Rattus norvegicus: one gene and its partner. The protein of the gene in region 2 purifies or fractionates together with the protein of the main gene of each other region. This does not show direct contact. Links are inferred from orthologs where the notes say so. Each region holds a gene or a part of one and is shown on either strand. Other genes may lie near its edges.

Region 1 (5,482 bases), on a different chromosome or scaffold from region 2:
CACCTTCATCAATGGCCTTCCATGGCCTCTCACAGTGCCAAGCCTCAGCTGCTCTTCATGACCCCTTCATACCAGCACTACCTGGGTGACGCTTACACGTTACCAAGTCCAGCATGAGGTACAACATTTGCTATCTCTGGAACACAGCTTCTTTGTACTTTCAGAAAACACTTCCCAGAAGATATCACCTCCAGGATGCTGATCTCTTCTTAATCACTGCTAATTTCTTAATTCCAGCTAACCAGCATCTATTGTCCCAGTAATCCCTTCTATTCTTTAAAGCCAGCCACATAGCCAGAGCTGCTGGGTTCTGCTGCTTGTTGAGGCTGGCCCTTCCTTATTCTATTACCAGCTTTCTGTTTTCCAACTTCTTCACTGCCTAAGCTTAGCTGCCTGTAACTTGCTCTGTATTGTATATTTATAGACCTTGAACTCAGAGATATGCATGGCTCTGTCTCCTTAACACTGGGATTAAAGGCATGTACTACCATGGTTGGATTTTTTATTTATTTATTTATTTATTTATTTATTTATTTATTTATTTATTTTTATAGGAGTACACTATAGCCATCCACAGACACACCAGAAGAGGGCGTTGGATTCCATTACAGATGGTTGTGAGCCACCATGTGGTTGCTGGGAATTGAACTCAGGACCTCTGGAAGAGCAGTCAGTGCTCTTAACCTCTGAGCCATCTCTCCAGCCCATGGTTGGATTTAACTACTCGGAATTTGCTCTGTCCCAAGCTGGTCTTGAACTCAGAGATCTGCTTGGCTTTGTCTCTTTGCATTAAAGGTATGTACTACCATGCTTGGACCTAAGCTTTTCATGGCCTCTATTCCTCAAGATCCAGATCAAAAGCCTGTGTCTTTCAGTCTCAAGATCTGGATCACAAGTGTGCCCTCCATACACAGATAACATGGATAACTTTTATTTTTGCCATGTTGATATATACATACATATACATACATATATACATACACACATATATGTACATAGTCACTGAATTGACAAAATCTTAAAAAGGCTTTCTTTCAAAACTCCACCTGAAATGCATTATTTTTGCTTAATCAGTAGGATTGCTAAATAGTCCAATAATTAGCAGAGGTGCAGGGTTGGCATGGCCACGCCCATCCCTCCACCCCGCCCACCACAAGCGCAGGCAAGAATACACGCTACGCGGGCACAAACACGTACCCAGGCGCGCACGCGCGCAAACTACCCCACCCGCGACACACATAAGCGCACACACATGCATATATATATGACTCAAGAGAAGAGGGTTCTCCGTCCTCGTCCTCTACAGCCAGCGCAGAGAAGTTTTTGAGGAGCAGTCAGCAAAGGTGATACTAGTGTGGTTCCTTTAAATGGTCTCAAATCCTCTTAGATCCTTTTGAAAGGGATCCAAGCTGCAGTAGAGGCGACAGGCAGCCCAATGCCTGTCAACCGGTTGGCACACGAGTGTACCGAGGACCTGACACGCTCTAGAAATCAGCTGCGGCACGGAGATGGAGACGTAGGACTCTGCGCCTAAAGAGCTCTAGGTAGCGCGAGTTTTTCCATAAATACCAACAGCCCGTAAACTTTTTCTCACTTAATCTTTACTAACCCACCACACACACACACACACACACACACACACACACACACACACACACACACACATATTTAGGCTTCTTTCTAGGAGTCAGCTGGCGGTCTGAACACTAACTTTGCGAAGAAACAGGAGCTAAATCCAGCCCTTGCTCGCATGACAGTACAGAGACGAGAAAACACGGTAAACGCCTGACCTCACAGTCAGATTTGCCCAGTGCTTGGAATAGAAAAAAAAAAAAAAAAAAAAAAAAAGACCCACGGGTGGCTCGCCGCGCGATGCATGCTGGGACGAGTAGTTTGTCCCGTCGGTCCCGCACGTAATCAGAACAGAGCGCAAGTTGGCTCCGCGACCAAGAACTACCATTCCCGTGGGGCCTCGCGGCAGGGGAGGGGCGGGGCCGGAGGAGGGGCGTCTCCCTCGCGCAGGTTCTGGGGCTAGAAGGAGGCGGAGAAGCTTCGGTCCAACTGCTGAAGTCTCCATGTGACAGTGAGTGGGGTCCCGTTTCTAGGCGCCACTCCAGTCCTGATCACAGTCACAGGAACGGGCCGCTATTCCAGCACCGGCAGACCGGCAGGCTTTGGACTCTGGGCGTCGGACCGTGCGGCCGCCAGACTTGGGGTGCGGAGTGAACGGCCGCCCCGGGGAAGGAGGCGGAGCGGCGCGGCGAGCGGGGCTCTGTAGCGGCGCCGGCGCCCCCGAACTGGCAGACATGAACGGCTTCACTCCGGAGGAGATGAGCCGAGGCGGGGATGCGGCCGCCGCCGTGGCCGCTGTGGTCGCTGCTGCAGCTGCCGCCGCCTCGGCGGGGAATGGGAACGCTGCCGGCGGTGGGGCAGAGGTACCCGGTGCCGGTGCGGTGTCCGCTTCTGGGCCACCTGGAGCGGCCGGTCCGGGCCCCGGGCAACTCTGTTGTTTGCGTGAGGACGGTGAGCGGTGCGGGCGAGCGGCAGGCAACGCCAGCTTCAGCAAGAGGATCCAGAAGAGCATCTCCCAGAAGAAGGTGAAGATCGAGCTGGATAAGAGTGTAAGTGGCCCCGGGACCGCCCTGCCCTGCCTTATCCTGCGTGCCCTGCCCGATCTTTGGCGGGGTTCACGAGTCTCTGAGACTGGGCTGCAGGTGGGATTAGTGGTTCTCTGATTGAAACAAAGTCCCTGCAACTCCGGCCACCTTCCCCCCAGCGCGCGCTCGCGCAGTGGTGCGGGTCCCCTCCTCCCCTCACCCGGACTCCCGCTGCCTCGCGTGTCTCCCACGCCAGGCTTCCCTCTTCCTCCTTTGCTGCGATCTGGAAACGAAACAAAGGGGACCGCGACACCAAGTAGTTTTCTCGCAGCCGTGTAGTCCCTTCTGGAATGGAGGCGCCTTTGTTTTGCTGCCAGAGCCGGTGTCTGCCCCAGGGAGCAGCTCTGTAGCTCTGTTCCTCTAGGGAAAGTAGAGTCTGGCTGGATCCCACAATGCTTCTCTCTCTCTCTCTCTCTCTCTCTCTCTCTCTCTCTCTCTCTCTCTCTCTCTCTCTCTCTCTCTCTCTCTCTCTCTCTCTCTCTCTCTCTCTCTCTCTCTCTCTTTCTCTCTCTCTCTCTCTCTCTCTCTCTCTCTCCCCTTCCTTCTGCCCCCCCCCCCTTTTCTTTTTCTTTCCTCCTCGGTGTTCTCTTTCTCTTGAACACAGGCAGGGAAGCCGAGCTCACCAGTTGCCTTGCAGAGAGATGGTTGTAAACGGCGTTTGCGGTGTCAGCTCTTCGGGCAGCTGCTCTGAACCAAGGCTGCAAATAAGCCTCTGCGGTTTTACAACCCTCTCGGCAGCCATCGGGATTTCTTTTTCTGTCTTTATGCACGTCTGCTGTTTTGGCCAGCTATGAGGTTTCAGAGAATTCCACTACTACTTTTCAGAGCTCTGACTGATGGCAAAGGAAGAACAAGATACAGAACCTCCACACATCCTGTATATTTTTAACTTGCCCTTAGCTTAGAAGTCAATTGAAAAGCCTGTTCATTCGGCCTTTAATTGTAGCCTTAAAAGCGGGGAGGGGGAGAGTGTCAACCAGCTCAGTACTTTCTATCCCACCGTATATAACTCTCAAATGCCTGAGTAATTACATTTTTTTGAAAAGTTTATTTGTGATTCTGTTTGGGCAGTTTCTCAGTAGGGTCCATGAGAAACTTTGTAAGTGAACGTGAATAATTTCAATTTGCTTTAATTGAAAACAACATAATACAGTGAAATGCATTCATTTAATTCTTGAAAAGAAACCTTGGGGCTTGAAATTTAAACATAGGATATGAATATGAATTCAATGACACATTCGTAAAAAAATGCATACTTTGTATCTGTGTAGAATTTGACTATCTAATTAGAAAGATAAGGAAGCATATGTGCCATTAATATAATTTGCTGTTCTCAAGTTAGAGAAAATACTAACAAGTACAAAATTGTGGGCAATGTCACCTCTCCCCTTAAGTCAAAACCAGCAGGAGCTAACTTATTTAGGTCACCCTCGATGCAATTTGGTGACAAAACACAGAGGATTGGAATTTCTCTTCCTCTGCTTGTCTGCCTGCCAGGTGCCTGCCTGAGTTCTCCAACCATTCTTCCTACCAGCCCATCACTTTCTACTACACCCCTCCCCCAATCTCCTTAACAGTATCACAGATTGCTAATGTTACAGCAGTTTAGTATTGGAAAGAAACATGCATCCTCTTGCCAGTGCCATTAGACTGTTTTTAGTGAGCTGCCTGGGCCTGTGCAGTTTACTGACCTTAGTTTTCTGGACTCACAGTCTTTTAACCTTTCTTTGTCCTTTCCAGGCAAGGCATCTTTACATTTGTGACTATCATAAGAACCTAATTCAGAGTGTTCGAAACAGAAGGAAGAGGAAAGGGAGCGATGATGATGGAGGAGACTCACCTGTTCAGGACATCGACACTCCAGAGGTAGACCGCAGGGTTTTCTATAGTGAATTGTCAATCATAATCACACTGGCAACTCCAAAACCGTTCTGTAAATATTTAACCATTTAAAGCATCTGAGAAATCTCAAAATTAAATACAGCCAGTAAGTTGGCTTTATATTAATATTAAATCTCAGATGACAGTCTTATAGTTCTTGATATACAACTTCCCCTTTTATTTCTCCAAAAGTTTATAATATGTATTCCCCAAAGATGGAATTGTTTCATAAATTACAGGTCTGATTTTGTAAATGAAGTCATGTGAAGTGCCATACAGATCAGTGATATCTTTTTAGCAGAGTGATCTAATTCATGTTATTTTTTTTCTAGGTTGATTTGTACCAATTACAAGTAAATACACTTAGAAGATACAAAAGACACTTCAAGCTTCCAACCAGACCAGGTCTAAATAAAGCACAACTTGTTGAGGTATATATAAATATGCTTTATACTGGGAAACAATCCTGTTTACAGCAACAAGGTATCACTAGGTGATGATGAAATAGAGAAATGCAGTATACTGAATAGTACATTACATGCAGTAAAGTCAAAGTTAATAGGCCTATCGTGGAAGAGTAGAGATCTTTAGAAACATCTGTCTGCCACTGAGAAAAATCTCTTCAGTGAGTACTCAGTGGATTATATTCAGAGTATGTACAGCGTCTTTTAATAGTGATTTTTAGAGTAAATATTCAATAAGAAATTTTTATCATCGTTCTAGAATTCTGTTTTAAATTTCTAATTATTCAATGAATATTTATTGAGGGAATATAAATATGGAGTGGAATTGAAATGGAATATTTCCATTGCAGGATGGAAAATAAATAGCTTATAAGTATTTATTAGAATTTAGTTTTCAGAGATTCTGTGGAACAAGTCTGCAGGGTTTTATTACTTTCTAGCTTTACTTTCAGATACATTTGCCTTTGTTAGGAGTTTTAA
Region 2 (5,434 bases):
TGGACCCCAACGATGTCATCTTGGCCACGCATGCCAGCGTAGACAACCTACTGCACCTGTCCGGACTTCTGGAGCGCTGGGAGGGTCCGCTGTCCGTTTCAGTGTTCGCGGCCACCAGAGAAGAGGCGCAGCTGGCCACGGTGCTGGCCTACGCGCTGAGCAGCCACTGCCCCGAGATGCGCGCCAGGGTCGCCATGCACCTCGTGTGCCCCTCGCGTTATGAGGCCGCTGTGCCCGACCCCCGAGAGCCTGGGGAGTTTGCCCTGCTGCGGTCCTGTCAAGAGGTCTTTGACAAGCTAGCCAGGGTGGCCCAACCCGGGATTAATTATGCACTGGGGACCAACATCTCCTATCCCAATAACCTGTTAAGGAATCTGGCTCGAGAAGAAGCCAATTATGCCCTGGTGATCGATGTGGACATGGTGCCTAGCGAAGGGCTGTGGAGAAGCCTAAGGGAAATGTTGGATCAGAGTAACCACTGGGATGGCACAGCCCTGGTGGTGCCTGCGTTTGAAATTCGCCGAGCCCGCCGGATGCCGATGAACAAGAACGAGCTAGTACAGCTCTATCAGGTGGGCGAAGTCCGGCCCTTCTATTATGGGCTATGCACGCCTTGCCATGCGCCCACCAACTACTCCCGCTGGGTCAACCTGCCAGAAGAGAGTTTGCTGAGACCTGCCTACGTGGTGCCCTGGAGGGACCCCTGGGAACCGTTTTACGTGGCTGGAGGAAAGGTGCCCACATTTGATGAACGCTTTCGGCAGTATGGTTTCAATCGAATCAGCCAGGTACTTAAAAAGGAGAGGGCATGTGGGACTGGAACTGGAGGTATGTCAGGGATGGAGTGGCCATTGGTGGGAAAGAGGCAATGAAGCAAGAAGATGGATGGTGTAGAATTGAGGAGGGTGGAGTGACACTTTAAGGATGATCATTTGGGCCCTGGGGATATCATTAAGTTATTATGATTAAATTATTATGACCTCTCTCTGTCTCTCTCCCTCTCTTCCCTCTCCTCTCCTCCATCTCTCCAGGCTTGTGAACTGCACATGGCAGGGTTTAATTTTGAGGTGCTGAACGAAGGTTTTCTGGTTCATAAGGGATTCAAGGAGGCATTGAAGTTTCACCCCCAAAAGGAGGCTGAAAACCAGCGCAATAAGATTCTTTACCGACAATTCAAACAGGAGTTGAAGGCTAGGTACCCCAACTCTCCCCACCGATGCTGAGTTCTTTCCTTCCACGGTCTGAGAATTTTCAGCATCTGGCGCTTCAGGCCTGACTGGGGTAAGAACATGCCTCCACTTTACAGAGGTAGCTGTGGTTTTGGAACACTGGACTTGACTATGAGGTGCTGGGAGCAAGTCTCAGCTTTACCACTAACTAGTAGGGTGGCCTTGAGCAAAACCTGTTCCTTCTCTGAGCCTCCATTACCCCGTCTGTAAAAAGGGAGGTGAAAATACCTACCTCACAGAACTGTTGGCTCAGATGAGACGCTGTATGTGAAAACATCCTGTAAACTTCGTACAAATGTGAAGTATTAATATTGCTACAGTGTTATTATTATGATATTGTTATTATTAACAATGTTGGGTGGATAGCGGCAGAGCAAAAAGTATGAATGGGCTAGAGCTTGAGTATTTAATAAAATGAGCCTTTTGGAAAGATGAAAACATAGAACGTAGTGCTCAGAACTGGCGTAAAATGTAAGCTTCCTCGTTCTCTTCATGCCTGCGCCCTCCACCCTCCGAGCTCCAAGGAGGAAAGGGTCTGTAGGTCCTGGGGGTTAAAAGTCCCAGCTCTGTGCCCTCCTGGAGGTCGGGCTACTCATTTGCCTTCGGATGACAGTGTGTAAATAAACGAGTGTTACACCCACAGCTGGCTCTGTTACTCTCCTAAGCTGAGGGGTGGTGGGCCAGAGTATCGTGTTATATGGCGGTGGACCCAAGGACACAGACCACAATGCTAGGACAGGCTGAAGGCCTGGGACTGTAGGCCAGTTGCTATGGAGACCCGTCCGCCGTTTCCCGGCATGCCTGGACACCAGTAGTTCCATTGTAAGCTCCACAATGGGCGCCTTCTGATGACGTACACGGAAGCGTCGACACCTCCTGGAGAAAGAGGGACCTGCGCAGCTCTCTTCGGGAGACCAACGGCGGAGCGTTCACCTGTGTCCGACAGCTCTCCGGGACCGGAGGCCCCAGTCTCTGCGGTGCGTATGGCCACGCCTAGCGCTGGGTTGGGCTTCCCGGGTCGGAGTCAAAGCAGAGACTTAACCGGCCCGGCTCGTGCTGGCCTGAGAGGAGCCGGCGGTTCTGAGGGTGGATCGGGGTTGGACGGTCCCTTGCGCCTCAGTTTGTTTCCTGTGTTTGTAGGGAGGGGTCCGCTTTCCCTGGAGGTTTGCTCTGGAGGTGCTTATACGTTTGTAAAGAGAAATCTCATGTACATCGCACTTTACCGTGTGCCTCTTCATTCCCAACAATCCTCAGCAATGGTATATATCCCCTATTGTACCCGGGTTAAGGAGGGACGGTTGTGACTTCATTTAACGAAGTCAGGATCAGAGTCAGCTGGAGGAAGGAGATCGTTGAGTTCGCCCTGCGTCTTAGCAAGCATATATACCACGGTGAAAAGGAATTGTTAGTGAAGGGGATCTGAGGCTTGAGAAGGGGAACGGTGAGACTATTTTGGAGATCTGGATTTTAGAGCAGGAGGGAATGCTACTTAAACTCTCCTGCAGCTCCGGCACTATAATTACTTGAATGGGTGTGAAGGAGCGTTGGCACCACTCCAAGTAGGGCTACCAAGAAGTAAAACTCAATTCCTGTACCGCAAAGGTTTGTTAATTTGTGTTTAGAAGTCTTGGGTCGGGGTTGGGGATTTAGCTCAGTGGTAGAGCGCTTGCCTAGGAAGTGCAAGGCCCTGGGTTCGGTCCCCAACTCCGGAAAAAAAAAAAAAAAGAACCAAAAAAAAAAAAAAAAAAAAAGAAGAAGTCTTGGGTCATCAAGTGAGCTGGTACTGCACTAGGTGAATAGGACAGATTGCAGCCCCTGTCCTGATGAAACACCCACATTTCACTGGGTGGACGGACATGAGAATGGGAGAACATGGGACAAAAAACCTTCTGGGGGAGGCACGGGGAAGACTTACAGAGCAGCAACCAGAGATGTAGAAATAACACCATTTACACCAGTGTGAACTAGAAGCTTCTACATCCAAGATGGCTTATTCTCTCGGGTGATCTGGCAGCATCAACCTCTCATGTCTCCTTCATTCTGAAAATACCTTCCACCCCAACTTTAGGATTTTTTTTGGGGGGGGGTTCTTTTTTTCGGAGCTGGGGACCGAACCCAGGGCCTTGCGCTTCCTAGGCAAGCGCTCTACCACTGAGCTAAATCCCCAACCCCCAACTTTAGGATTTTCAATCTGCTCTGCAGAGGTTTCTCCCCCTGCCTCCTTTGTTGACCTTGAGAATTCCAGCAAAGACCCCTTGTCACGTTTCTGCCTGAATAGTCAGACTACATTCAGCCTAAACAACTTGCCAAATGGAGGTGGTGGAGCCTAGGTCTAGTGGAAGCTTGCATACCTATGTCCCCGGTCCTTTTCTCACATCTAGGTCTTTGTACTCTGCCGGGAATGTTTCTCTCATGTCAGCCTGGTCCTCACCTAGTCTGTCTCCCTCTGGAAGCTGTCACTGTAGCAGCAAGCTCCAGATCCTGTGTAAACACCTCTCCCATAACACCTTAGTTTGTCTCTCTTCACACACACCGTTATAAAGGTCTGTTTCTTTGCCTTCCCTCCCAGGAAGTTGTTATTTCCTCGAGGCCAAAGACTGACTGTCGTAGCTATGGTATAGCATCTGCCACAATCCACAGTGACTGTTGGTACCAGGCATATATTAAGTGTTTAGTAAGCTAAAAGGTGGGTGGAGGGACTTAGCAGTGTTTAATGTTTCTGAAAGAGAAAGCTCACCTAAGGCAAGCACTGAAAAACAGCGTTTGCTACAAGGCAGTTGATGTGTAATTCTGCCACAGTGGTTTCACTGTGAGTGCTGGATATCCAAATGCTGAAAGTCAGAATAGCAAGTGTGCACAAGGCCTGGAGAACTGTAGGAAATTAAGTAAACCGAGCCAAGTTTCATATTTCTGCATTCATTCTTTTACCTACTTATTTATTTATTTGAAATAAGTAAGTTTTTGACACGGCCTCACCAGCTATTGCCAGCCTGAAACTCTGTATAGCAGGCTGAGCTTGAATTTGTAGTAATTCTCCTGAGTGCTAAGATAACCACTACACCTGGCTTTATTTTTTTATTTGTGTTTGTTTTTTCCAGAGGGATCTAGTCCAAGTGCCTCTTTAAGCAGCAATTCTACCACTGAACTATACCCCTGACATACTGCTTTTATTTGCTTTTGTTTTAAGACAGAGCATCACTATCTAACCCACAATGGCCTAGAACTTGCAGACCTGCGTCAGGATGTGGGGGGTTGGGATTATGTGTATGAACCTCATCAGGCTCTTGTTTATTTCTTTCTAGTACTGAGAGTTGAGTCCAAGACCTCATATAAGCTAGAAACATTATCACAATTCTCTGCTCCCCACTACTTCCACCCCCCCAATGGCTGTCCTGGAACTCCCTCTGTAGACTAGGCTGGCCTTGAACTCAGAGTTCCACCTGCCTCTGCCTCTGCCTCTGCCTCTGGAGCACTGGGATTAAAGGCATGTGCCACTACCACCTGGCCTCTCTCTCTCTCTCTCTCTCTCTCTCTCTCTCTCTCTTCTTTTTTTAGATTTCTTTTTTTTTTTCTTTTTTCTTTTTTTTGGAGCTGGGGACCGAACCCAGGGCCTTGAGCTTGCTAGGCAAGTGCTCTACCACTGAGCTAAATCCCCAACCCCAGATTTCTTTTTTTATATATGTGGGTATGCTGTAGCTGTTTTCAGACACACCAGAAGAGAACATCAGACCCCCATTACAGATGGTTGTGAGCCACCATGTGTTTGCTGGGAATTAAACTCAGGACCTCTTGGAAGAGAAGTCAGTGCTCTAAACCACTGAGCCATCTCTCCAGCCCCTTCTGTTTTCCCTTAATGGTAGAAAAACCTGAGCACATCTGAATTCCCACATGGGAAGGTGCTTCCTGTTCACGTCCTTAGGAATGCTAGGGACTTAGGGTATTGCTCAGTGGTAGTTTGGGCTCAGCATTTATGAGAACCCAAGTTCAATCCTTAGTCCTTCACCAAACAAAATAAAAACCTGCGTCAGGATCATTTATGAAGAAGGGGACTTAACTGAATGGAGAGAAACAAGCCTGTAGTCCTGTGGCTTGGACAACAGACCAATTCTCAAAAACAGCTGTGAACATTGGTGAATGCTGGCTTTTCCAGCATGCTTAAGAATCTGAGTTTAGCTGAGCAGTAATGATGCATTCCTCTAACCACA

The links.
Region 1: the proteins of Brms1 (region 2) and Sap30 purify together in Homo sapiens (affinity purification with mass spectrometry; 3 studies listed by BioGRID and IntAct, with this or other methods). This does not show direct contact. The link is inferred for Rattus norvegicus from reciprocal best matches to the Homo sapiens genes BRMS1 and SAP30.

What each region holds. Positions count from the first base shown.
Region 1 is NC_086034.1:37,756,461-37,761,942, forward strand, and holds the start of Sap30 (histone deacetylase complex subunit SAP30), read left to right. Parts: upstream 1-2,033; 5' UTR 2,034-2,306; coding exon 2,307-2,621; intron 2,622-4,397; coding exon 4,398-4,523; intron 4,524-4,870; coding exon 4,871-4,969; intron 4,970-5,482. UniProt on the Homo sapiens protein: Involved in the functional recruitment of the Sin3-histone deacetylase complex (HDAC) to a specific subset of N-CoR corepressor complexes. Capable of transcription repression by N-CoR.
Region 2 is NC_086019.1:211,772,998-211,778,431, forward strand, and holds the start of Brms1 (breast cancer metastasis-suppressor 1 homolog), read left to right. Parts: upstream 1-2,144; 5' UTR 2,145-2,206; intron 2,207-5,434. Other genes in the region: B4gat1 (beta-1,4-glucuronyltransferase 1), read left to right, coding at 1-788, 1,032-1,223. UniProt on the Homo sapiens protein: Transcriptional repressor. Down-regulates transcription activation by NF-kappa-B by promoting the deacetylation of RELA at 'Lys-310'. Promotes HDAC1 binding to promoter regions.